7 linked regions of the Canis lupus familiaris genome follow. The protein of the gene in region 3 interacts with the protein of the main gene of each other region in a pairwise test. Links are inferred from orthologs where the notes say so. Each region holds a gene or a part of one and is shown on either strand. Other genes may lie near its edges. The genes, in order: MEOX2, GLI1, PIN1, CEP76, HOMEZ, RBBP8 and ABI2.

The links.
Region 1: the proteins of PIN1 (region 3) and MEOX2 interact in binary tests that used the Homo sapiens proteins (3 or more experiments, as listed by UniProt). The two-hybrid records come from large-scale screens. The link is inferred for Canis lupus familiaris from reciprocal best matches to the Homo sapiens genes PIN1 and MEOX2.
Region 2: the proteins of PIN1 (region 3) and GLI1 interact in binary tests that used the Homo sapiens proteins (3 or more experiments, as listed by UniProt). The link is inferred for Canis lupus familiaris from reciprocal best matches to the Homo sapiens genes PIN1 and GLI1.
Region 4: the proteins of PIN1 (region 3) and CEP76 interact in binary tests that used the Homo sapiens proteins (3 or more experiments, as listed by UniProt). The two-hybrid records come from large-scale screens. The link is inferred for Canis lupus familiaris from reciprocal best matches to the Homo sapiens genes PIN1 and CEP76.
Region 5: the proteins of PIN1 (region 3) and HOMEZ interact in binary tests that used the Homo sapiens proteins (3 or more experiments, as listed by UniProt). The two-hybrid records come from large-scale screens. The link is inferred for Canis lupus familiaris from reciprocal best matches to the Homo sapiens genes PIN1 and HOMEZ.
Region 6: the proteins of PIN1 (region 3) and RBBP8 interact in binary tests that used the Homo sapiens proteins (3 or more experiments, as listed by UniProt). The two-hybrid records come from large-scale screens. The link is inferred for Canis lupus familiaris from reciprocal best matches to the Homo sapiens genes PIN1 and RBBP8.
Region 7: the proteins of PIN1 (region 3) and ABI2 interact in binary tests that used the Homo sapiens proteins (3 or more experiments, as listed by UniProt). The link is inferred for Canis lupus familiaris from reciprocal best matches to the Homo sapiens genes PIN1 and ABI2.

Annotation. Positions count from the first base shown.
Region 1 is NC_049235.1:30,370,403-30,374,474, reverse strand, and holds the start of MEOX2 (homeobox protein MOX-2), read left to right. Parts: upstream 1-1,272; 5' UTR 1,273-1,632; intron 1,633-1,835; exon of another isoform or gene 1,836-1,996; 5' UTR 1,997-2,288; coding exon 2,289-2,802; intron 2,803-4,072. UniProt on the Homo sapiens protein: Mesodermal transcription factor that plays a key role in somitogenesis and somitogenesis and limb muscle differentiation. Required during limb development for normal appendicular muscle formation and for the normal regulation of myogenic genes.
Region 2 is NC_049231.1:1,917,677-1,921,833, reverse strand, and holds the start of GLI1 (zinc finger protein GLI1), read right to left. Parts: upstream 2,801-4,157; 5' UTR 2,455-2,800; intron 1-2,454. UniProt on the Homo sapiens protein: Acts as a transcriptional activator. Binds to the DNA consensus sequence 5'-GACCACCCA-3'. Regulates the transcription of specific genes during normal development.
Region 3 is NC_049241.1:51,553,172-51,556,671, reverse strand, and holds part of PIN1 (peptidyl-prolyl cis-trans isomerase NIMA-interacting 1), read left to right. Parts: intron 1-237; exon of another isoform or gene 238-373; intron 374-1,075; exon of another isoform or gene 1,076-2,108; intron 2,109-2,394; exon of another isoform or gene 2,395-2,662; intron 2,663-3,116; coding exon 3,117-3,227; intron 3,228-3,500. UniProt on the Homo sapiens protein: Peptidyl-prolyl cis/trans isomerase (PPIase) that binds to and isomerizes specific phosphorylated Ser/Thr-Pro (pSer/Thr-Pro) motifs.
Region 4 is NC_049228.1:78,163,202-78,166,701, reverse strand, and holds part of CEP76 (centrosomal protein of 76 kDa), read left to right. Parts: intron 1-902; coding exon 903-1,236; intron 1,237-3,116; coding exon 3,117-3,334; intron 3,335-3,500. UniProt on the Homo sapiens protein: Centrosomal protein involved in regulation of centriole duplication. Required to limit centriole duplication to once per cell cycle by preventing centriole reduplication.
Region 5 is NC_049229.1:3,678,737-3,682,883, reverse strand, and holds the start of HOMEZ (homeobox and leucine zipper protein Homez), read left to right. Parts: upstream 1-1,347; 5' UTR 1,348-1,796; coding exon 1,797-1,884; intron 1,885-4,147. UniProt on the Homo sapiens protein: May function as a transcriptional regulator.
Region 6 is NC_049228.1:65,288,209-65,291,708, forward strand, and holds part of RBBP8 (DNA endonuclease RBBP8), read right to left. Parts: intron 1,933-3,500; coding exon 1,844-1,932; intron 320-1,843; coding exon 202-319; intron 1-201. UniProt on the Homo sapiens protein: Endonuclease that cooperates with the MRE11-RAD50-NBN (MRN) complex in DNA-end resection, the first step of double-strand break (DSB) repair through the homologous recombination (HR) pathway.
Region 7 is NC_049258.1:12,103,411-12,106,910, forward strand, and holds part of ABI2 (abl interactor 2), read left to right. Parts: intron 1-151; coding exon 152-298; intron 299-1,065; coding exon 1,066-1,190; intron 1,191-2,218; coding exon 2,219-2,401; intron 2,402-3,500. UniProt on the Homo sapiens protein: Regulator of actin cytoskeleton dynamics underlying cell motility and adhesion. Functions as a component of the WAVE complex, which activates actin nucleating machinery Arp2/3 to drive lamellipodia formation.

The sequences.
Region 1 (4,072 bases), on a different chromosome or scaffold from region 3:
ACACCCCCTTTCGAAGTCTAAAACAATATTAGATTCCCAAAACATATCGGCAAAGAAAGTCTTACCGTCAAAAGCTTGCAGCAGGTTCCAGCTCAGACCCAGACTGAAAAGCTGAGCAGCTGGTGAACAAAAGTTTTAGCTTTTTTTTTTTTTTTTTTTTTAACGAAGTCTGCAAAACTAATTTCCCTCAAAATAGGGCTCAATTTCCGTTAAAGAAAGCAGCGCTTACAAATCTCAGAATTCCTGATCACCCCCACCCCATCCCACCTCTAAGCAATGGAAAACAATTCGAACTTTCACACGGATGTAAAGGTTTATTGAGAGGCCACTATTCAGCAGTGGGGCTTAAAAGACCAGGGAGATAGGCTGAAACCTGAAGGGACTAGTTGAGGGAAAGTTTCTGCCTTGGGGACACTTCTCAAAGATTAATCAATACTTTTTCCTAATTCAAACCAGATGGCTGGCCCGGTTTGCTGTCCTCATTAATCCCATTAACAACTTCAAAGACCTGGTCCCCATCCTCTGGACACGTGAGACAATGAAAATAACGGGGCTACACTGCTGGTGGCATGTTTGTGGTCCTGGGCGGCATAGGTGAGCGCCAATCTTCTGATGCGAACCGTCCCAGACAGGACTTGACTGTTTCTGTAGCTCATTCAGTGCGGCTCGCTTGCCTTGTGTAAACGACTGTGCCCCCAGCAGACAGTGTCACCCCTCAAGCAAGTGGCAGTGTTAAAGCCCAGCCGCCGCGCCTACTCACTGATTCACTGACGGCAAGTCTTCTAACTAATTTTGTATGATGCGAGAGCGGAACCAGGGAGATCTGAAGCAGCGCCCAGTTTCGGTGAACTTTGGGGGTTATCGAAGTGTAATATTTGCCCTGTAAATGGGACCATGGCGGCAGGCGCGGGAGGGGGGGGGGGTGGAAGGGGGAGCCAGAAGCAGTGCCATTAGTTGATTTATTTTCGAGCGGAAGAGAAGGTGAATTTCTGGAGGGAGACGAGGGGACATGAGCTGACTCCTGAGGGGAAAGACTGGAAATGTGCTTGCAAGATACCGCATCACATGTCACCACGGCGATAGCGCTTCGGGTTTTCCTGCCCGAAAAGTTTTGGGTTGACAAATGGCTAGGAATTTGACGTGGACCAGGAAAGCAAGGGCAAGGACGTTGTGCAAACAAAGCAGGAAAGGCATACTCAGATAGGAAGAGAAGAAAGACCCCCACCTGGCACCGCAGGTGAGGATGCCAGCGTCTCGGGACATCTTGCAACTGTTGCTGCCCCCACGCTTTTGTCCCCCGCACCCCAGCAGGTCTCTCTCTTTTCGGCGCTGAGAATGGCCCTTTTCCTACCCGCGGGGCACTTCCCAGAAACCTCGGATGCCGGGTCCGAGCGCGGTAACCACCCACCCGGACGGAGAAAACAGCTGCGAAAAGCTAGACGCGCCGCTGCGCCCTGGGCACGAGTCGATGCAGAGTTTGAAAAACTTGTCTGAGCGCGCGCCAAACTAATCTTTTTTTTTTTTTTTTTTTTTTTTTTTTCCGTAATCCTACTTCCCCTTTCGAGCCCAAGAGCCGGGCGTACCCCGAGCTTTCCCGCAGGTGACAGCGCCCGAGTGGCAGTGACAAGAGAAGTGAGCGGGTCGGGCGGTGGGTGCAGAGTTGGGGCTGGCGTGCGCGGGCGGGCGCGGAGGGCACCTTGGCGGCCCGGCGGGCGGGGAGAGCCGCTGTCCGCGCGGCTGGGGCTGGGGCTCGGGCTCGGGCTCGGGCTCGGGCTCGGGCCGGGCTCAGGCGCCAGGCGCGCGGCTCGCAGCCTGGGCTGCTGGCAAGGGCGGGCGGGCGTGGACGCAGTGCGCACGTCCAGCCGGAGATAGGAAGTGGAACTGGGAGCGCGTGGCGCAGACTGAGCGGGAGTTTTGGAGGGAGTTTGCATGTGGTCAGCTCCGGGCTCCTGAGCCAGCCCCCAGCTCACATTACACTCTATTTATAACCTCTCAGAGCCGTTTCCCCCTGAACGCAGTTCTCTGGGACCACCTTCTTTTGGCTTCAACCTCTCCTACTCTTGACATCTGAGTAGCTCGAAGGGAAGCTTCTCCAGGTCCGAGTGTTTATATGTAAAGGAGACTGGCCGCTAGGGCTCCGGACCGGGATTATCCGAGCTCTGCAGAAACGGCGGGTAAAATTTGTTTGGGAGGGGGAAAACACACGGTTTCCAGTGAAAAGTGACAGAGGGTGGTAGCGTTCGGAACCATCGTGAAGTCTTCTGCCTGGAACCTGAGACGTGCATGCTATGGAACACCCGCTCTTTGGCTGCCTGCGCAGCCCTCACGCCACCGCGCAAGGCTTGCACCCGTTTTCCCAGTCCTCTCTCGCCCTCCATGGAAGATCTGACCATATGTCCTACCCCGAGCTCTCCACTTCTTCCTCGTCTTGCATAATCGCGGGATACCCCAACGAGGAGGGCATGTTTGCCAGCCAGCATCACAGGGGGCACCACCACCACCACCATCACCACCACCACCACCACCAGCAGCAGCAGCACCAAGCTCTGCAAACCAACTGGCACCTTCCGCAGATGTCCTCCCCCCCGAGCGCGGCTCGTCACAGCCTCTGCCTCCAGCCGGATTCGGGAGGGCCCCCGGAGCTGGGGAGCAGCCCGCCGGTCCTGTGTTCCAATTCTTCCAGCTTGGGCTCCAGCACCCCGACCGGGGCCGCGTGCGCGCCAGGAGACTACGGCCGCCAGGCGCTGTCACCCGCGGAGGCGGAGAAGAGAAGTGGCGGCAAAAGGAAAAGTGATAGCTCAGGTAAGAGCGCACCGGGCACGGTCGGCGAAAGGGGGCGGGGAAAGGACAGAGAAGCTTCTGGCGCTACAGTGAGGCGGCGGGGAATAGGGTACGCGTCTCGCCCTCTCTGGCTCCGCGCCGCCAAATTCGGCGGGGGCTGCTTTGGTCCTGTTATTTGGGGGCACGTGTTTCTCTCCAAGGGCAACACTGCAGCCAACAGCGATAAGCTCTCCAAAGTTCAAACTAGTTTACCAGAGGGTTAAGAAAAAAGGACAAGTGACAGTACGTGAAATCGATTGCAAAGCGTGACCTTCCATCTGAGCGGTGGGGAGGGGAGCGCACCCGGGGTTGCGGCGTCCGCTGGGCGTGCGTGCGGGTGCCGCTCCTTGACTCTTCCCTTGCAAGTTCCCGACTCCGACTGGCTCGATTTTTCCCATCGTTAACTGGATTTCCAAATTATTGCACAATATTTGGAACTTGCAGTGGAACTTGGCAGAACGTATGAGAAAAAAAAAAAAGTTTTAGTTTTTTTTTTTTTTTATTCTGATTTCAGAGTTCTTTAAATAGCACCCTATTCCAAATGGTAAAAAAAAAGAAAAAAAAATCCCTTTCTTGGGGAAGGAGACAATCTAGGAATTCAGAGGATTTTAAGGAATGTGTCAAAGAACGGTAAATAAATACATGCTCAGACTCTTGCGGAAAAAAAAAACGATTTTTAATAGTAGTTGTATTCGTGTGGTGCTAATCTAAATAGGGAATCTGAGTTTCAAAGTGGAAAGTAAAATATCTTTCTGTTGAGTATTATTGGAGGCAAGTATTTGGAAACAAACAGCAGCCGGGGTAGTGCTGGTTCTCTACGTGCTTAAGGCTGGTATTCGAGGGTGCGCGCAGGAGGCGCTGATCTATGTGGGGATAACTTGAGTGGCCACGCAAAAGCGAACCTTACTAAATGCAGATGCTTGAATGCGCAGACTGCCAAGTAAATTGTAGCAATCCCAGACACTAAAGCTTTCCAAGCAACTCCTTAAAGCCCTTCACAATCTGTATCATCGTCCAATTGTTAAGAGATACTTTACAATTAAGGGACTTGTGGATTTTCTTCTGTAGCTACAGCGTGCCCTGCGTTCCATCCCTTTTGGAAAGTGTCATTTGTTTAATATAATATTTACACATTTTTCTTCTTTTGTGGAATTGGTTTAACAGTCCTAGAAGGCAATGACAGGTATTGATGCGAAGGATTGGAAGATGTTTGTTTTTCATAATGCTTTAGGTAAGATCCCACGTAAATGGC
Region 2 (4,157 bases), on a different chromosome or scaffold from region 3:
GGGAGAAGGGAAGGCACAGGCACCATCCAGGGGAGAAGAGCTGCGGGAGGAGAGGGTTGGGCCGGCGCTTCCCTCCTCAAACTCCGGCTTCGGCTCCAGCCCGGGTTTTCCCGCCTCCCGGGGCCGAGGGTGGGGTGGGGCGGGGTAGGGTGGAGAGCGCTCGGGAGCGGGCCCGGCCGGCGCGGTGGGTGATCCCGGGATGCTGGGATTTAGGGTAAGGGAGGGGTGAGATGGGGAGCGGAACCCGGACCCCACGACGCAGCCCGAGCCCCGCAGCCGGGACCGTACCCTTCCTAACTCCTCCTTTCCCAGCGCAGGGCCGGGCCCCGCATCCAAGACCTCCCAACTCGACCTTGGCACTTTGTGTGTGTGGGAGGGGGGGGGGGGGCACAGCTGGCTGGCAGCTGGATAGGGGGACACTTCTCCCGCCTCCTTCCTCTATGACTCACCGGGGGAAGGAGGCGGGGCCCGCAGACGACCCCCCAATACTAAGGAGACTCCCCCAAACGTGCCTACTCGGGCATCTTCCCGCGCCACTGCCCGCCGCCGAGGGGCCGCGACTAAACGGGGCGACATCCCCGCTCGCCCACGCGTGCCACAGCCCACCCACGTCTCCCCTTCGCCCTGGCGACAGGAAAATTTCGCCAACGTTTCCAGCTTCAGTTACGTCTTTTGCTGGGGTGTGGATGAGAGCGCAGGCCGGGGCAGGGGGCTGAGGGTCGCCCTGATGGAGCCCTGAATCACCCTCGGCGTCTCCCTACTTTCCGGAGGCCCCCTCGCACCCCCGCTCCCCAACTCCCAGGAGTAGGCCCCGCCCCCTCCTCCGGGTCCCGCCTTCCCCGCCCCCGTGCCTCCTCGGCCCACCCAAGTCGCCGCCGCAGGCTCTGGCTGCAGACGGCTCCGCTTCCCCCGCCCGCCCGGGAGCCCAGTGGAGCGAGCCGCGGCGGAGGGGGCGGGGGGGCGGGGGGCGGGACGCATTCTTCCCTCCTCCCCTCTGTGCGGCCAGAAAGCTGGCAGCGGCGCCCGGGGGGGCGGCGGGCACTGTTGGAGGGGGGGGGGGGTCCCCGTGGCTGGGTGGAAAGGAAAGAAGAATCCAGAAACTATAGGGAAAGAAGGTGCCTGGGTAAATAAAACAAGGTGTGTATGGGAGGAGGGAGGGGTCAGGACACCTTGGGTTTTGATTTTCGCAGCCGGCTTCCCAAGGGTTAACCCCTCCAGACCCCCGGGAACCCCTTAGTGACGTCAAGGGCGGGGTCTGTACTGCCTGGCTAGGGATGCCGGGGAGATAACTGGGGGGGTGTCTCTGGACCCCGCCCCCATAGGGAAAACCACCCTAATTCCGGCCCTTACAACTCCCCGGGGAAATCGCCCCGCCTTCCCCTCCCACTGGACAGTGAAGATCTATCCTATGAAGACCCCCAGTTCTCCAGCCCCCAAAACCTTAAGTCCCTAGTCACTATGGGATCCCCTTTCCTAATCCTGTCCCCAAAGCCAGCGGCCCAGGGCGGATTGTTTCGGGGTCACCGGGCCTGAAAGAGGCTTCAGAGCGGGGAGCAAGGGCAGGCAGGGTGGTCTGAGGCAGAGGAGGGGCCTCGGCCCCCAGCTCCCGTTGGGGAGGGGGGTCCAACCGGGATACTTAGGCAGGCAGTGGCCAGTGGTCCCGCCCAGTCCCAGTAGGGGTCTCCCTGCGGCTGGCCCAGCTGTCCCGGTGGTCCTGAGGTCAGAGGGTCAAGCCAGGGTCTCCTCAGCTCCGCCTCGGCACCCTGACCACGGCTCTGGGGACTCAGGAGTCCTAATTCCTTGAGGAGCCTTCTAGGGCCTAAACAAGACGCCGGCCCCTCCAGCCCCCTTCCTAATCCAGAAGACGCTCCGTTCCCGAGAACACATGCACCAGCAAACGCATCTGTCATAAGACAGGTCAGGGGTTCAAGCCGAGCCATCCCCCACTGGTTTGTCCCCTTGCACACACCCGTCTCCACCCCACCCAGGGCTCTCTCCGTGGCTGTTCCCTCCTTTCAGAAACCCTGACGTCTCCTGCGGCCCCGACACACCTGGACTTCCGTCCCTACCACGCAGACCTCCAGCTAGCCGTCCCTCCTGCCTCTTCATGCCAACCTCCTGGAAGTAACCTGTCCCTAATACATAGGAGAGGCGGAGACAGACAAAGAGATCCCCGGGTGCCTGGGACAGAGACACAGAGGCTGTCAGAGGAAGGAGAAGGAGAAGGAGAAGGAGGAGAAGGAGGAGGAGAAGAAAAAAGATACAGAGAAAGGGAGATACAAATGAAAAAAGTCCTTCAAACTTTCTAGATCTCGGCCCGGGCTCTCCCACCCCCTTTGTGCCTGGGTGCCCCGGGTCTCCCTCTGGGCTGGCCAGAGCCCGTCGCGAGCAGGGCATCCCCTCGCCCCCTCCCCTACGGTTCCCAGGTGGTCCCCCGCCCGCCCCCCTTCTCACCTCCTTCTGGGCGCCGGGCTCGGGATGCGCGGTCCAGGGCTGGAGTGTGGGCTGGGGGGTGTGCGGTGGGGAGGGGGGGCGCACAGGGCCACGGCAGCGCAGCCTCATGCCACCCCCACCCCCTCCTAACCTGGCCGCCAGCCCTCCCGCCGGCCCAGCCCGCCGGGCCGCGAGCCGGGACCACCCGCGAGAAGCGCAAACTTTTTTTTCCCTTTTGCAGAAACTTTTTCTCGCTCAGGCAGCTGGCGCGCCGCCGCTCTTCCCGCTCGCCTCTCACCTCCCTTCCACTTCCCTCCCTCTTGCCGCTCTGGAGAATGAGGCGGGGTAGCAAAAGCTAGAGAGGGGGTGCCGGGCTTATTGCACCCCCAGGACCCCCAGGATCCTCCCCCTCCCTGGAGGGACCCTATACTGCCTCCCCCCCCCCCCCCCCCCCCCGCTGAACACGCTGCTGCTGGTGGGCAATAAATCCCGGCATGGATCCTGGGATCGGCTGCCCACGGAGCGGCACCCCCACCCCAACCACAGTCAGAAAAAAACTAACAAATACATTGGGAGGTGGGGGGCGATGAAAAAGTTCATCCAAGAAAGATAATATTGGAGGGTAGCGCCGCCGACTTTGGTTGGTGCTGCGAGTATTGCGTCATCCTGCAGGTTATCTGTTGACCTCCCTCTTTCAGGGGAACATGAAGGGGTTAGGACAGATTTGGGGTTTGGTGCAAACAGGACTGGAACAGAGTTGGCTTAGAAGTGAAGGGTCTATAGGGCATCGAAGAGAGGGCAGCGGCTGAGGCTCCGGGTGCAGAGTGTGCGGTTCACACTAAGGAACCCTGGGGAGGCACTCAAGCGCTGTAACGCGGAGACACCCCCCACCCCCCACCCCCCCGCCCGGTGTCCTGCGTCTCTAAGTTCTGGAGACTGCGGGCACCTCCGCACCTCGAGGCCGCCGGCTCTCTGCTCTTCCAGGCTGTCTGCTCCCTCTGCTGGCCTCTCTGGCACATGGCACACTCCCGCAGGCTGCAGGCGGAGAAGACTGGGGGAGCTGCAGGAGTAGGAGGCTTCCTAGGTCCCCCCACCAAACCCCAGTTAGGAGCCCAGGGAGGGGTGTACCAGCCCAAAGAAACAGAAGGGCACCCTAGAAGAGGCTGCCAGTGCGGAACGGCAGCGTCTGAGAGGGGAGTGCCCTGTCCCTTCGGATCTGTGTTGCCATAGTGACTGGATGCAGGGGAAGGGGCAGCTATTTTAGTCTCTGTGACCTTTCTTTATGAGAAAGGGGAAAAAACGTGGTGAGGAAAAGGAGTCCTTTCCTTTCCTGTCACCCCTCAGATAGACCTCCCACATCTTAGCTCTGCTTCCAAGAAGCACCTTCTTGGGCCTGGAGAGTTAGTAGGTCAGCTATTAAGACTGAGGGTCAAGGGGAAAAGGTGAAAGTGGGAAGAGGTCTGAGGCCCTGCAAATATAGGTTGTAATTGTGGGGGAACAGATACAGAGTCCTGTTTCACTGTCCCTCCCCCATATGACTTTGGCCTAGACACCAGTTATACCCAGAGGTCAGGCAAGACCAGCGGTCAACGGGAGAAGGAGCCCTACACATTCTCCTGCCTCAGCCGTCTGCCCTTTCTTTCAGAGAAGCTCTTTTTTTTAAATTTTTAAAAAAGATCTTATTTATTTTTTTAAAAAAGATTTTATTTATTTATTCACGAGAG
Region 3 (3,500 bases):
AGAGCTCGGGATGGGTAGAGCTGAGATCTGAATACAACAGTGGGGGAGTCTAGAGTTTACCCGCCTTGGCCTCAGAGACGCATGGAGCAGGCCAGCCTGTGACCTCCCAGCAGCGACAGATGCACTTCTGTCATGCAGCCAGTTTCAAAGGCCCCCCAACTCCCCAAATCAGGTAAAAGTTCCCTGCTTCAGATGGGGAGCTCCTTGAGAGGCTGCCCCCCAGGATCTGCCTCTCACCTGGAGCGCCCGTTGGATGGAGTGCCGTCTCGGTGAGGGGTGTTGAGGCAGGCTGGCTAGGTCAGGGCATCGCCAGGAGGGTGGCAGGGGGTGTTTGGTATGTGCTTCCTTTTCCTCCCCCCTTGAGCATTTGGATCTAAGGCACAGAGGAAAGAGACATGAGATTCCAGCATTTCTGTCTAAGGAGCGGAGGGGTGGATCCCTCTCCCTCCTTCTCTGTGGCCTGTTTCTGTCTCATTTATTCATGAATTCCTTCAGCATTAGGGAGCACCTGTTCTGTGCACAGGGCCAGGTGCTGGGAACACAGCAGCGAGCAAGGCCCACTGGCCCTGCCCTCCCAGTCTGAGGCAGGTGACACACAGATGGGACACTGGCAAATGTAGGGGGGCACCTCCCACAGCGGGGTCTTAGGAAAGACTCCTGGATGAGGCCAGAGGACAACAAATGAGCTTCCTATGGGAAGAGACCATTAAGCAAAGGCCTCGAGGTGGCAGGGGCAGGGCAGACTGGGAGGGCTGTCACGGGGGCTGGGTTAATACTGAGCCCAGGGGATGCACAGGGGCCTGAGGGTTCCCTTGCATCTTGGCTTGTGGCCAGACTCCTGACGGGCAGCTTCTAGAAAGAGGAGATGAGAAAGCAGTGATTTTTTTTTGTTTGTTTTTAAGTCACTTGAGGCTCCTGTCCAAGCAGAACATTTCCTGAGAGTTGGCTGATCAGAGGAAGATTTGGGTGCTATGAACTATGGCGGGCAGAAACTTGGCTTTTATTTGATTTTTGGGCTGATATCTGTGTGTACCATGGCCAGGCCATCTAGTCTCAGGGATCCCTGCTGACTCACAGCATCGGCTCCTGGAGGATGCGGCAAGGTGGTGCTGTACTGGGCTCGGCTCTGCAGGTGCGGGGCCTGTGCCCGGAGCCGGGCAGGTTACAGCAGGGAGCACTGTATGCACAGGATTCTCTGGCCAGCGAATCGAGGTCCAGACAAGGGAAAGGAGGAAGAATCTTGAGGCTGCCCAGGTGAGGCGAAGAGATAGCCCGGAGTCCAGGGAGTAGAGAAGTCTCGGTGATGTCCAGTTCAGGCTGGATCACTAATGGGTGCAGCTAGCACTGGGGGGCCACCTAGCAGCCCCAGCGGGCATGGTCAGCCCCAGCATGGGCATTGCAGGCAGAAGCCACCCCTGCCCATGGAGGGTGGGGCTCATGTCGCACTGGCAAGCTTTTCTGACCAGGCAGCCTGTCCCATGACAAGATGCACAGGCAGGATAGCCCAGGGATGGGCAAGTCACACAGAAACGGGGGGAGTCTTATCACTGAGACGCGTGGCCCTTATGGATGGGAGAATTGTGACAGCACCTAACATTTGTCAGAGTCTCCATGGCAGGCACACTGTGCTGTCACTGTGGTCTGCTGGCAGATGACTAATGGGCCAGCAGCAGAGGGATGGTTGGGACATGGGGATGACAGGGTGAGGGGGACAGCAGTGGAAGGCCCCCAGTGGACCAGATACCAGGACCCAGGCGCTGCCATGGTGTGGGACAGGATGGGGTGATAGATGTGTTGTCACAGTTGTGTTGTTTCAGTTGTGGTCATAGCGGAGTTTGCACGAGCTCAGCAGGCAGATGGCCCCGGCTGGGTGTCTGGGCCTCAGTTCGCCAGGTGGCTTAATCAGCAGCGTCCCTGTGGTGCTCAGACAGGAGCAGTGGAGGGTGGTGTGCAGAAGCCCACTAGCAGGGATAACAGGGTGATCCTCACACCCGGGGTGGGCTGGGTGGGTGTGCAGAATGTCCCCAGGAGAGTAGCTGTCAGGGAGGCCATGTGGGACCAGGGTGGTCTGGAGCTGCATGTCCTGGGAGTCCACCCCGTGGCTGCGCCTGTGGGTGCAGGGACAAGACTGGCAGGAATGTTCCTTCAAGCGCTGGGGCAGCTGGTTGGAGCAGGATGGGGCATTTTGAGGAGGAGAGGGTGGGCTCTGGCTCTAGGGGCTCCTGCCTGGAACCTGGACTCAGGAGCAACAGGAGGCTCTTCCTCACCACGCAAACACAGCCTTCCTATGTGCCCTGCTCCCCACATGTGAGTCATATAGGTGCTCAGTGCAGCCTCAGCCTTCCCCCACCCCCCGCCCCCAGGAGATGAGTCCCCAGCGGAAGCAGTTTGTACCACACACAGGATGCATCCAGTGTGATGCCACCACAGCCTTTTAGGGCAGCTGCAAGAACGGTGTCGGCTGCTATGAGGCCATGTCCATGGAAATGACACATGTCCCGTCTCGGCTGCCTTGTGGTCTCTTCACGACGCCCCACTTAGCAGCCTGGGCCTTCCTCCCAGTTCCAATAGGTTGGACAGTTGAGGCCCAGGGGATCCGCCAACAGCTCCTGTGGCAGAGCTGGCCTGGTGCCCCAGCCTCCTGCCTTTCTCCTGGAAACTTCTAGAAAATTTCCCCATCAGTGCCTTGTGGGATCTTGGCAGGGCCCTGGGTCCCAGCATCCCTCTTCAGTATTTGCCCTGCTTTTTGCCCTCCTCCCCAACAGGGCCTAGAGGTAGAGATTTTCCCCAAAATATGTGTTGGGGTGTGGGAAAAGGTCATGTTGTGTTCATGTTATGTCTGTAGGGGGCGGGAGGTAGGAGTGGCAAAGGGAGCTGGGGTGGGGGAACGGGCTCTGAGACCAGTGTGGCTATTGAGGCCACCACAGGGTCAGGGGGCGCACACTTGGTGGCGGGGGGGTGGGGGGTGTTCATGAATGTGTGTGGAGCGAGTGGTCACCCTTGCAAATAGGGCAGGGGTTGCGTGCCTCCTTTCCGAGGGAAGTGCCCCCTCCATCAGGAGCCCCCCGCTCCATCCCACCCTGCCTTTGATGAGAGGTCTCCCTGTATGTCCACAGGCTACATCCAGAAGATCAAGTCAGGAGAGGAAGACTTTGAATCTCTGGCCTCACAGTTCAGCGACTGCAGTTCGGCCAAGGCCAGGGGAGACCTGGGTGCCTTCAGCAGAGGTGCGCAAGGAGTGGGCACTACCTGGCCCTAGAGGAGCCTCTGTCCCAGCCGCGGGGATCCCCCTGCCAGGGGGAGGTTGGGAGGGGTAGCCCCGGCTGTGCAGGTCTTCAGGGTCCACCAGGTGGCAGCACAGTCCCGCAGGCTCCAGAGGGACTCCCACTGCTGGGGGGTTGGCTGGGCTGCAGAGCCCTCTGCCTGGCTTCCTTTCCCCCCTGCGGTGGGAAGTCCGTCTGTGGGTCCCTCGATGCAGTTGTCCCCATCATGGACACGGC
Region 4 (3,500 bases), on a different chromosome or scaffold from region 3:
AAGGATTCTTTGTTTATATTAGATGGTACTCAAACGCACAAATTAATAATTTTCATTATTAGAGCCTTTTTATGACCAAGCAAAAGATTACTTCAATTAAAACAGCTCTTAATTTGAAGAAAATTTGTACACCTAAAATATTCTTTACCAATATAATATAATAATATTAATATATTAATATAATATAATATTGGTTAAAAAATAATTTATTTTAAATTTTGTAATTGGCATATGCTTTTTCTAATGTTTTTCCCCAAGCCTAAAAATAAATTGAGGTTGTAAATCATGATTTCTTTTGAAAATTTGATGTCACCAATTCCACATTGGTAAATTCACTGTATGCTTTTCTTAGCTCTTTGGACTGCCATCAGATTTTGAAAGAGTTCGGTGTTCCCTCTTTCCTGGAACCATCTCTTTCCTTAGCTTCTACCATAGCATTGTCTTTCAGTTTTCATTATTCCTTTTTTTTTTTTTTTTTTTTTAGTTTATATTATTCTTATCTGGCTGTTCTTACTTCACCTTTATCTGATCTACAAATGGAGTTTCTAAAGGCATAGCCCTGGGCCATCTTCTTAGGTTTTTTAATTTTCCCCTGGTTGATAATCATTTTTGTTAGTTGTACCTATTAATGTATAGCTAAAGTATTTTAATTGTGCTATTTGAGATGAATGATTTTGATCTTAATGGTTATACATAGAATATATTCTCATGTTGAATAAAGTTGATTTTTATATCATATGTGCCATACAATTACTGTAATAAAATTGTAGAAATATAAGAAAAAACAAGTATTAAACTCTAGTCCTGGGAAATAGTTATAGCCCTAAATATCTTTCTTAATAAATGTTACCATCTTAATTTTTAAGTTTTTACTGTATAAAATTATACTTTACTTTTTTTAGGTACATCCACAAACCTGCCAATCCTGATGAATCTCCAGTTGCAGAACAGCCCAAACCTCTGTACCCATATCGAACAATTGGTTGTGTTTTCAATCATCAGATGTTCTTGGGAAATTGTCAGCCCTCTGACTCAGTAGAAATCTGTGTATTTGATTTGAATGATGAATCCAAATGGAAACCCATGAGTGAAGAAGCAATCAGATCTGTGTGCGCTCCAGGAGCTACAACATCCCTTCCTCCTTTTCCCCCTCTATGTGCATCCACAATTGATGCTTCAGTAACAAGTAATGAAATAGAAATGCAGCTAAGACTGCTAGTGTCAGAACACAGGAAGGTAATTAATACTGATATATACTGATATTTGTAGTTTCATGCATTTTTTTTCATTTGTTTATGTATTTAACAATAATAAGGGGAGGAGGGCAGCTAGGATAGTACCAGTCACTGTTCTAGCCCTGAACAAAACAAATTTTGTTCCTGCCTTTAAGCTTGTAGTTTTGAAAGTCATGAGAGTTAGGTTCTGAGACCAAAAGTTTCCAAACTCACTAATATTTTTAGAATTTATTACTTCTAGAAATGAAGAGTGGTAAACTAGTTCAGACTTTTGCTGAATACCACTCTTTGGATTTATTTTTCTGTGGAGTACTTAATTCATATTATTCCTACTGAAAATACTGGGTTATATTTTTTTCATAATCATTTTTTTCCAGGTTGGTTTTATTTTGCCCTATCACATGAATTTAGCTGGATGTAAAATTATATTCTCATTCTAGTTTTAATTTGCATTGCCCTGATTATTAATGAGATCAGTCCTCTTATTAGCCATTTAGATTTCTTTTGTGCATTAGACATAACAAACATAAAAAGATATAAAAAGATTAGTATATTTTAAGAATTTTTGTTCATTGGAAGAAACCAGTCAGGGAATGAATGAAAACATGATTGGAGTGGGTGCAACACATAACCATCAAAGGACTAGAATCTCAGAAGACTTATTTCTAATTCATCTTTTGGCATTCCATAATAGACTCTCCACCTTCAGTGAATCCTGTTTACTGTGTTCCTTGAGGGCATCAAAGGCAAAGTGATTTATTAACTATGTTTTCTGGGCTTCCAATTACTATTAGTTTGGCTTCTAAAATCTGCTCTACTCACTTGCCAACTCATCAAAGCTTTTAGAAGTGTATTTTGGAAAGTAATCTGGCACTTATAGTTTGTTCTCAGCAGTAGGTTGTTCAAGGACCTACTTCACTTACACTGCGGAGAATGAAAGCCCCTCATTACTGCATCTTTCCCTCCATCACTCATACTATACTGCCTTTTAGTTTTCCTAGGTCTTGTTTACAAATAAGACCAGTATTTTATTGTAATAGGAATTTATGTAGAAAAAGAAAACAAAAAACTGAGCTAGATGCTAGTGTTGATCATTAAGTTAATGGTGCCTGAAAGCCAGTAAGTGAGATTTACTTTTCGCCACAGAAAAAAAGATAGATGAACATAGACCTTTGGGGTTACTTGGAACCAGCTAAAACCTTGAATACAAAATCAGGAAATGGCAGAGATCTATTATGATAATCAAAATATTTAGAATTTTTGAGAAAATTTTTTTTGTAACAATGTTTTTAAAATATCACGTGTATAGATATATGGAGTTCATTTCATACCACAAGTGAAATCTTAAATGCCTTCAACATTCTATAGAAACATGTTTTAAGCTCCCTGAAGGCCTAAAGCATATCTTTTCACCTTTATATCCCTTTACGGTATAAAAGTTAGTATTATCATGTAATTCATTTGTTGACTTTTCTCTCCTACTATAGTTGAATTTGTGTTGGAACAATTAAATTAAGCTGATTCAATCTTACTCTTTAAATAAAACGTGATTTCAGATTTCAGCAGCACTGTGTTTTCCATAGTAGGACTGTTCCATGTAGTATTTTCTAGTGAATATTAAGGAAGTACAGATTTTTGAGCCTTTACTAACATCAATGTATTAAAAGTTTTTTCTTTTTTTTACTTCTAAGTAAAACCAGGTACCTGTAGTTCCTTTATTTGTACGTGTCCTTATCATAATAGAAAATTTAAAAAGTTATGATGGGCTTTATATTAAAATATTTTTTATATTTTAAATGTATTAAAATCACCAACACTTATAATTGGTTATTAAAATACTAGTATATTTCACCTTTTCTTTTTATTTTTCGATTGCTGTAGGATCTTGGGCTCACTACTGTTTGGGAAGACCAGCTTTCCTATCTCTTATCACCAGCTTTGGCTTCTTATGAATTTGAGCGTACGACAAGTATATCTGCAGGCAATGAAGAATTTCAAGATGCCATAAGGAGGGCTGTACCTGATGGTCACACATTTAAAGGGTTCCCAATACATTTTGTCTATAGAAATGCAAGGCGCGCATTTGCTACATGTCTTCGGTAAGGTGGAATTTATGAATTTGTAAATGTTAACTGTCTTAGGAATTTAAAGATTTTTTTAAAATTAATTAATTAACTAGAGTAGGAGATGAGGGCAGAGTGGGGATAAGCAGACTCTGTGCTAAGCATGGACCCAAGTGCGGGGGTGGATCTCATGATCTGAACT
Region 5 (4,147 bases), on a different chromosome or scaffold from region 3:
CAGCTTTAGAGAGCCAACACCTGAATCTTCTAGTTCTTCCCAAATAGAGCTGCCCCAGGGCCTGGGGGTAAGCTGGTGGTCTAATCTGGAATGGGAAATACTAGAAGTTTGAAGCAATCTTTAGAGATGTGTTACATATTAGGCATTGGGATGAGTCCTTTCCCCTAAAGGCTGGTGACTATATGAACAGGAACAATTTAACATATAATACGTCAGCTGTGGACGAGACAGCACTGTAAGAGAAAACATTACCCTGGTTAGGGGCTTGAACCCTTGAAGCAACACAGCTGGAACATTGCCCATTTCTCTCATCTAGACCTCAGATGTTTCCCTACACCAACCTGTCTTAACACCTACGAGCCTTCTTCTTGTACCTTGTTTCTCTTTATGAATGCAGCTCATTATTTCTCTTCATAGTAAGTCCTAACCCCTGAACTTTTCAGTCTAACACCCGCCTTCCCTTCTAACACCTGTGTTTCTCTGGAGCAACTCTGGATCCCTGCAATCTGCAAGTCATATAATCAGAGACCTGGAAAAGCTTATCTTTAGAGATCACTGGGGTCCCTGCTTCAGTACAGATGAGAACACAGGTCCGGAGATGGAGTGACTTCAGCAAGGTCAGAGAATTTGTTAGTGCAGCTGGAGATGGGGCTTAACCCCAGCCTTCCTGACCATATCCCACTCCCAGGCTAGAAAACAGGCTGCTGCACAATCAGACCTGGGGTTTTTCATGGCAAGGATAATATCACAAATGTTTCATTTTCTGCTGCTAGTTTCCACTCCCTTTTCTATACCGGCATAAAAAGAAACAAAAGGCACTTGTAGTTTTCTCTGTTCTCCCAAGCCTTGGCACTTTGGGTGATATTGCTAAGGAACAGTGAAGTTGCTAAAAAAAAAAAAAAAAAGACTGAATAACTCACCCATTGACTAGCTAACCTGGAGAGGAATTGCATGTTTGCTATGTGAATCCCCCCAAACCACAGTTCTCATCAGGCCGTCCCAGAGTGTCCTCATCCCCTTCACAGCGCAGCCCTGTTCTCTGGGCCCCAATCCCACTAGCGCTGAGCCTCACTTCAGCTTCCTCATGCAACTGCCCTCCCTTCTGGTTAAGAGGCCTCATGTTTGAAATAAAGGTAAAATATGAAAGTATATTATAAGATACTGAGATAAATTGATTTTTTCGGGGGGGGGGGGTGGCAAGAGACCCAGCGGCAAGATTCCTCTTCCCTATTTCCCATTTCTTGGTCATCTCATTTCCTAAAAGCCCTGTCCATTGGTGTCCTATTGCTACACAAAAGTTGGATGGGCAGAAGATACAGAGGAGCTGGGCAGCACTGGTATAAGACACCCCAATAGAATCCCACCATTTGGGTAGTGGCAGGAAAGTTATCAGGGGGCCCAGCTCTAGTTCCCTAGCACCCAGCACCAATTCCTGGTACAGTTAAAGGATAAAATCCCCGAGTTTCCCCTTGTGTCGGGGGACCATCTAAGTTACATTCTTCTTAAGCACTGAAGGGCAGAGCAAAGCCCTTTTCTCTATCAAGGGCAACCCTAAAGTAAAGCACAAGAAATATGAAGAGGAAAAGCAAAGACCTCTGTCTAATCCAGAGTGGAACAATAAATATTAAAGTGAGGCATCCTTGAAAAAGATCAGGTTCTAACATAATTTTGACTTCCACATCACCTGAACAATGAGAGAATTCAGTTACCCACAAATGAGACAATGTTTCTAATAGGAAAGCCCTAACCTGAGAATAATCAGATTCTCCTAATTTCATCATAATGGCCAAGTTGTGATGTCACTACAGAGCACCCACACTTACGTTGTGAAGCTAGATATGCTGAAGGGTAGAGTCAGCATGAGGAGCAGACACCCAAAGAGAGGTAAGTGGGGGGCTTCCCAGGGTTTTTCTCTGTGGCTTATTGCCTAAAGTCCCTCCGTGGCCCTAATGTCTTTCCTGGCTTCTCACAGTTTAGTGCTACGTCTGTCTGAAATTCTTCCACAAATTCCTTCACTGCAGCTTTAGCTATCCCAAATCTTTTAATAGTTGCAGTTCTGATTGGTCAGCCCTCAGCTTTTGGATTTCTTAGGAGACCGGGCACAAAATGGTGGAGCATGTTTCCCCTAAGTGAGGCAGAAACTCCCCATATCCATTTGGGTTGTCCCAGGGGTAGATGCTAGTTTTGGGGTGCCTGAAGCACAATTTTTGGGGCTTTTTAAAAAACTTATTCATGAGACACAGAGGCTGAGACATAGGCAGAGGGAGAAACAGGCTCCCCATGGGGAGTCCAATGCAGGACTCTATCCCAGGACACCGAGATCACACCCTGAGCCAAAGGCAGATGCTCAACCACTGAGCCACCCAGATGCCCCTTTTTGGAGACTTTTAAAAGAAAAACACATTAGTCACAAAAGTGAAAATAGTTTAGAATGAGAAAAGATAAAAATTTTAAAGAGCTGACAAATACAATATCATAAAATCAAGAAAAATAAAATTTTAAAACCTACTTGACAAGCATTTTTTTTTTTTTTTACAATTTTATTTCTGAGTGCATGCTCTTGATAGCTTCTATGATGAGAATGTTTTCTCTAAGGAGTATAGAAAAGTCTTCTACATGACACTTTTTTTTATTCTTAGTGATTTAGAAAATTTTCACCTTCACACTTTATAAGTGATAAGAATATCACAATTTTGGGCAGCCCTGGTGGCGCAGCGGTTTAGCGCCGCCTGCAGCCCAGGGCGTGATCCTGGAGACCCTGGATCGAGACCCTGGATCGAGTCCCACGTCAGGCTCTCTGTATGATGCCTGCTTCTCCCTCTGTCTGCTTCTGATGTCTGCTTCTCCCTCTGCCTCTCTCTCTCTCTGTATCTATGAATAAATAAATAAAATCTTAAAAAAAAATTAAAAAAAATCACAATTTTTTTCAGATTTTTATCAAACTTGAAAAAAACACTATCAAATTTCCTTGATGTATGTGATATAAAATTTCAGAGCATTTCAAATTTGTAATGACTAATATGCTCTGGATCGTTGACATTCGTATTAATGTAGATGTATTAGTCAGCTAGAGCTGCCATACAAAAATACAACAGACTGGGTGGCTTTAGCCAGAAATTCCCTTACAATTGTAGAGGGTAGAAGTCTGAGGTCAAGGTATCCACAGGGTTGACTTCATTCTGAGGTTCCTCTCCTTGGCTTATAGATACCCATCTCCCTATGTGTTCCCATGGTCGTTCCTATGTTCGTGTCTGTGTCCAAATTTCCTATTCTAAAGATACCAGTCATATTGGATTAGGACTCACCCTGAAGACCTCAGTTTAACTTAACTACCTCTTTATAGACCTTGTTTCCAAATACAGTTATATTCCAAGGTATCGAGACTTAGTACTTCACAGTAAGAATATGGAGTGTGTGTGTGTGTGTGTGGGGGGGTGGACAACACAGTTCAGCCCCTAACACTATGCTTACTATTAAACTATTTACAGAAGTAACTGCAAACCACAGTGATAGACCTACTCAACCCAAAGCAAATGTATCCCCAACTTAATTTCCTTAACCAATCCCAAAATGCCTATGGCCCCTCCACTGCCACTTGACAAAAGAAGTATAATGGAGGGGAAGTCAGAAAGGAAAGAGACATCAATCTTAGTCAATTGCAGTTGAAATATTTTTTTCAAGTTTTACAAAAAACTATGACCATGTTAACATGTTCTTGGGGCTCCTTCAGTGCTTTGGAAGAGGTCTGTGCAAGAGATGGCCCTGAAACTTCAGCTTCTTTAGCTATAGGGTAAATGTGCCTCTTGGTTAATCCTGCTAATATCTAAGTCATGCAAAGGAAGAGAGAACTTCCACCAATATGGGGGATTAACATCTCTATATTGAGGATGGCATGATGAGTCCCCATTCTTCAGCACTAGTCCCTGGAAGAGCTGGGAAGGTTCGTTATCTTGCTAAAGGTGGGGCCCTCCCATCTCGGATAGCCTGGATCTCTTCCTCTCTTCCAATCCCCATACAGTCTACTCCATCTTCTAAAGTTTTAGAGTGAAATCCACATAAGAGGGAGTCTTCAGCACACACTCTAGAATAGGGGCAGGTGGATTTCTTCTATCCTTGGATTTTTCCTCTCCTAAACCTGTCCAGTTCT
Region 6 (3,500 bases), on a different chromosome or scaffold from region 3:
TTCTGGAAAAAAAAGATTTTGGCTAAAGATATTTTCCCCTTGTAATACTGAAACTGAGCTTTACTAAGAGAAATCTATTCATCAGAACAAGAAAAAACCCCTGGTTTATGGTGAAGAGGTCACTTCTGGTCATCAGTGCAATGGTATGACTATAAACTTCCCTCTACATTTTTATTAAATTAAAAAAAAATCAAATCTTACTTGGACTTTTCTCTCCCTTCTGCTCTTGCTTCTTCATTTTTAAAAGCACAGTTTCACTAACCAATGTGCAGTCCATGTCCACTGTCTCTCCTCCTGCTAATCTTGACTGACTGCCATCCTAAATATTTAAAAATTCAAAAATTTTAACAATTATCCCATATGGCCTTATATTTACTTTTTAAAAATTCTGGTAAAATATACACAGCATGAAATTGACCTTTTTTTTTTTTTTTTTTTTACCATATTTTAAGTGTACACTTCAATAGCATTAAGTTATATTTATTTTTATTCTTTAGGAATATATATAGATTTAGGTTTTATTGCCTGTAAAACATTTTAGCTTCAATACACAAGTATCCTCTCTCAAGCCCACAAAAAGAAGGACTGCTGCCAAGGAAGGGAGAGATGCATACCACTGACCTCCCTGGGCTTCTCCTCCCTTTCTTCTCCAGTTGGCTTCACAGTAATGAATGTCAGTGTACACAAAGAACAACAATTTCATACTGTACCAAGTTAAATACTTCATTAATATGCTCCCAAGTGAAAGAGTACTTTTCAAACTATATAAAACCTAAAAACAAGCCAAAAGAGTTATTTCCACTAGGAATTTTATCTTTTTTTTTTTTTTTTTAAGAGCAGGGGAGGGGCAGATGGAGGAGAGAGAGAATCTTAAGCTGGCTCCATGCCCAGCATGAGGCCAATGTGAGGCCTAACTCATGACCCTGAAATTATCACCAGAGCTGAAATCTAGAGTTGGACATTTAACTGAGCACCCAGGAGCCTGGGAATTTTAATTTTTAGAGAAATATACAGTATTTAAAAAATAGCCAACTGGGAAAATAATTTTTTTCTTTATGGTATGTTATTTTAAAAGTTAATCAAGGCATATGATGAATTATTTTGATAAAATATAAAATTATTAAGGGGCCTGTGGCTGGCTCAGTTGATTAAGTGTCTGCCTACTGCTCAGGTCATGATTCCAGGGTCCTGGGATTGAGCCCTGTATCGGGTTCCCTGTTTAGCAGGGAAATCTGCTTGTCCCTCTGCTCCTCCTAGTTTGCGTGCGCGCACTCTCTCTAATAAATAAATAAAATCTTTAAAATATATATGTGTGTGTATAAAATTATTAAAATATGTAATTAGCATTTTTCGTTATTTAATACTATAATATTTTTCAGCAAAGGCCTTTCTTTTTCATTTTTTTTAGGGGGGGGAGAGAGAGAGAGAGAAAGGGAGACAGAGACAGAGACAGAGAGAGAAGAGGGGCAAAGGGAGAGGGAGAGAATCTTAAGTAGGTTCAAAGCCCAGCATGGAGCCTAATGTAGAGCTCAATCTCACAACCCTGAGATCATGACCTGAGCTGAAATCAAGAGTCGGATGCTTAACCTACTGAGCCCCTTGGGTGTCTCAACAAAGGCCTTTAAAGTCAGAAAGTATTATTACCCTTTCAAAAACATCATAAAGTTAGAAGAATAAGCATTTTCATTTCTTAGTTTTCTGAATAAAGAAATGCAGGTTTTATTTGGAATAAATAAATGCAGATATGTGATTATCTTAACGTCACAGAGTTAGTTAGGGGAGAAGGATGACTAACAACTTACTAGAATAACCACATGGGCCTTGGTTTTACTTTCTAACTTACCTTTGTATCTACTACAGTAGTATCCATTTTATATTGAGAGAGGTCTGCTCCTGGATCTATGCTCCACTGGATATTTTCAAAGGATCCATCTTCAATAAGGAGAAAAAAATACAATTAAAATGGAAAAAATGGATTTTAAACATTCTTATCACTTTAAAACCTTATGAGATCCAAAGAATGGGAAAAAAGATTTGCAAATCCTCTATTTGCTAAAGGGGCTGCATCCAGGACATAAAAAGAACTCTCACAACTCAATAATAAGACAAATACCCCAACTGAAAATAAGCAAAGAATCTAAACAGACAATCCTCAAAGAAGATATACAAATGGCCAATAAGCATATGGAAAGACATTCAACAGCATTAGCTGTCAGGAAAAGGCAAATCAAAACCACAATGAGATAACACTTCATACCCAAAGTATGGCTAGAATAAAAAAGATAATAACAAGTATTGGTGAAAATGTAGAAAAATGGGAACTTTAAGTGTTGCTGATGGGAATGTAAAATGACATAGATGCTCTGGAAAACAGTTCCTCAAAAGGTTAAATACAGTTAGCATATGGTCTAACAATTTTACTCCTATATATAACTCAAAAAAGATGAAAATATACATCTACATAAGATTGCACTCAATGTTCTGCTATGAACATTCATAGTAGTGAAAAAATGAAAAGTCACAAAAAATCATATATGATTCCGTTCATATGAAAACACAATAGGCAAATCTATAGAGATAGAGGGTAGGCTAGTTGCCTGGGATTGGGAAAGAGGGAAGAGGAATGCAGAATGATTGCTAATGGGTATTGTTCTTCATGTAGAAAATTCTTTCTTACTCAAGTATAATTAACATCCAGTGTTATATTAGTTTCAGATGTACAATGTGATTCAATAGTTCTATACACTTCTCAGTGCTCATCAAGAAAGCGTACTCTTAATCCCCTTTATCTAGTTCACTGATTCCCACTCCCCCACCTCCCCTCTGGCAACCATCAGTTTGTTCTATGTATTTAAGAGTCTGCTTTAGTTTTGTCTCTTCTGTTTGTTTCTTAAATTCCACATGTAAGGGAAATCATACAGTATCTGTCTTTCTCTATTTCACTTAGCATTATACCCTCTAGGTCCATCCATGTTGTTGTAAATGGCAAGATATTTTTCTTTTCTATGACTCAGTAATATCACACTGTATATACATAACCGCATTTTTGTTTATTCATTGATTTATCTATGGACACTTGGGTTGCTTTCATATCCTGGCTACGGTAAATAATGCTACAATGAAATATGGGGTATATATATCTTTCTGAATTAGTATTCTCTTTTTAAAATTTTTTTAAAATATTTTATTTATTTATTCATGAGAGGCACAGAGAGAGAGAGAGAGAGAGAGAGGCAGAGACACAGGCAGAGGGAGAAGCAGGCTCTGTGCAGGGAGCCCGATGTGGGACTCAATCCCCAGACTCGAGATATGCCCTGAGCCAAAGGCAGATGCTCAACCACCGAGCCACTCAGGCACCCCCTGAATTAGTATTCTCATACACAGTAGTAGAATTATCGGATCATATGGTAATTCTATTTTTAATTTTTTGGAACCTCTACACTGTTTTCCATAGTAGCTGTACCAATCTGCATTCCTTTTTTTTTTTTTTTTAAAGATTT
Region 7 (3,500 bases), on a different chromosome or scaffold from region 3:
ATACTTAAGGAAAAACTGAAATTGGTAGCTGGGTTATGTTAAAACATTTTCCTATCTCTGAATACAAATTGTATTTCACTACTGGCAACTCTTTGAATTTATTGTGCCGAAATTTGCTAATCACACAATACATACGCTCTTCTTTTTGTAGGCGGCACTCCCCCTATCGCACACTGGAGCCAGTGCGTCCTCCAGTGGTACCAAATGATTACGTACCTAGCCCAACCCGTAATATGGCTCCCTCGCAGCAGAGCCCTGTGAGGACAGCTTCTGTGAATCAAAGAAATCGAACTTACAGGTATTTTCTCTACCTCAGTGCAAAATGTGATGGTCATAGTACCATAATTTGTTCAGATTACTTCAGTTAAATCTCTCTCATTTTCCAAGCACTAAGTTCTTTTCCTCACTCTACTCTCCCAAACCTCATCTGATTCTGCCTCTCTCTCCTCATGTTCTGATGCAGCTTTGAGGTCAGGAAGTTGGAAAAAAAATAATAAACCCAGAAAAAACAGACATCTTAAAAATACAAACTTCTCTAAAAAATTAATAGTTGTAGTTGACCTGAAAGAAAGTTATGGACCAGATGTGGGGAAAAAAGTTATGGATTAGATGTGGGAAATTGCAAGTTGTTTTTTGGTGGAACTTTACAGATGAAAAACTATACATGGTAAAACATTAATATGAAATGGTACACCAAGATATCATAAATAAAATTAATCAAATAACCTGTTTAGGAAAACTGTGTTTTTTATTATAAAACAAGTTTCTTCAGGCAGTAAAAGTAATACTATTTTTGTGTGTTGAGTCCTGTCACTTACCACTTATATTTCTACAGAATTTTTCCTTCTTTCTCAATTTCACTTTCTTTAATAGATGCTTATTAAAAGGTAGTCAGAATGAATTTCTTGAACTCATGTTTTTTTCCTGTTTTACTCAGAAATTAATACATGAAATGGAGGGCTTTTGAATAATCTTTGTTTAGCTATATTCATTTCAGAAAATTTTGGGAAGTGCTGGTGGTATCTTATATAAATACTCATGTTTTGGTGGCTCTTATTTCTTTAGCAGCAGTGGGAGTAGTGGAGGAAGTCACCCAAGTAGTCGGAGCAGCAGTCGGGAGAACAGTGGAAGTGGGAGTGTGGGTGTTCCCATTGCTGTTCCTACTCCCTCTCCTCCCAGTGTCTTTCCAGGTAAAACATGAATGGTGCCTCATCTTTACTTGTCTTTTTTGAATTTGAATTCAATTTCCAATTTAATAATGATGGGCTTTCTTCATAATGAAGATTTTTTTTCCTTTAGGACTCCATAAATGTTGGGAAATCTTTATGCATTTGTTATTTTTAACCAAGTGATTTCTGAATTTATGCTCACATACCTCTGTTATTTGGCTTTGTCTTTGGTGCAGTGGCTCAGTTGGTGCTTTGAGGTTTCAGGTACCTCCTGGGTATGAGTTATATGTTTAACTCCAGCGTTATGACATTGCGTGCATTTGGACACAGTGTGAGAATCACATAGGTAAAAAAAGGACTGGACAAATTTAAAAGTAGTTTTGGCAGTTAAATTTAGTGGACTCTTGGAACTTAATACTCTGAAATGCTACCTTTTTTTTTCTGAAACAGAAAAATGTGCTTATTTAATTTATTTATTCATCAAAGTTGAACTTTAGTTTTAAAAGTGTGACACAAAAGACCTAGGGATAGACTTTTTTGTATTTAATTTACTTATACCAAATAGATAATAATTTTTTTATAATAATATTTTTAAAATCATGAAAAAGATTTTTCTGATTTTTTTTTACCTAATGTTTTTGTCTAGAATATGTTTATTTTCTGATTTTTGTGTTTCAAAATGGAATACTGTTTCCTAATGTATTATGTTTAGTTTTGTATACTGTTTACAAAATACTATGCTAAAAATTATAATATAAAAGGTACAATACAGTAGAAAAGTTACTTTTCTTAGAGTAGTGGCTTTCAGGTAAAACGGAATGCTGTTTTTAATGAATTAAAAAATCTGTACATTGCCCTGAGCATTTTGAATTATTTGCTGCAAACCTAATTATCCTTTAATATAAGCTTCATTTTTTTCCCTATTCTCTTCTTTTCTTTGGTTAGTGTTAAGCGCTGAATATTTAACATTAGGTTCTCTAATGCTTTTTCTAATCCTGCCTAATGGGTCTGCCTCATTAATGCCGCCTCTTACTCCTCTTTCCCCTCAGCCCCCGCTGGCTCTGCTGGTACTCCTCCCCTTCCTGCTACTTCTGCATCTGCCCCTGCCCCTCTTGTTCCTGCTACTGTCCCTTCCTCCACTGCCCCAGACGCTGCTGCTGGGGGGGCCCAGACCCTTGCTGATGGCTTCACTTCTCCAACTCCCCCTGTTGTTTCTTCCACTCCCCCTACAGGTGAGTATGGCTTGTTCTTTGGCAGGCACATCCAGTCATCTGGCTCTTTTATCTGGAACTCTGGCTTTATGACTTTTGTTTGTGCTGTGTGTGTGTATAAAATCTGAAGAATAACAGACTAACTAGAAAATGGCATGTGACCAAGAATAGAATTTCCTGAGGAAATCAGGGTAAAGTTCACATGCTTTTTTCCAGTAGAGTAACACAAATACACATTTTTTTAATGCTTGAATTTCATTTATTGGAGTTCTGTGAATTTAATATGGAGCCATCTTCTTACAGTTTTGAGACGTTGTTGTTAGAAATATTGTTACAGATTAAGACTTTAACAGAGAAAAGTCTATGGAAATAATATGGAAATAATTATAAGGTATATTTTATAGGAAATATCTGATAAAACAGTTTAGAAGTCTCTATTATAGCAGCACTGAAAACATATGGACAATGGACTTTTTAAAAAGATTTTATTTATTCATGAGAGACACACAGAGAGAGGCAAATACATAGGCAGAGGGAGAAATAGGCTCCCTTTGGGGAGCCTGATGCAGGACTTGATCCCAGGACACTGGGATCACGCCCTGAGCTGAAGGCAGGTGCTCAACCACTGAGCCACCCAGGCGTCCCTAGATAATGGACTTTTAAAGAATTTCATGTTTAGTTAAATGTTACTTAAGGTTAACTGGTGTTTCAGTGTTTTAAAATAGCAACCTAAAATCCGTTTTGATGGGGAGGGGGAAGAAGATTCAGTTGCTACAAAATGTATTTGCAAAGTTAATAGTGATGCTGGTTAGTAAACAAATTCTTTATCTATTAACAAAAATGTGTATGTTTGGACACACATCACCTTAGCTTGCCAAATATTTCATAGATTACATATTTAGCTCTGCAGCTATAACCAGATGTTTAAATGTGTTAAAGGATACTTTTAGCTAAAATGGATTTTGGATGGTGTTTTATGGGATAGTGTCTGTAATAGCACTTTAATATTTTTTTTGTTTTTATTTCTTTATGAGAGAGTGAGAGCACGAGTGGGATGAGAGGCAGAGGCAGAAGCAGACTCTCTTGCTGAACAGGGAGCCCTGACATGGGACTGGATGCC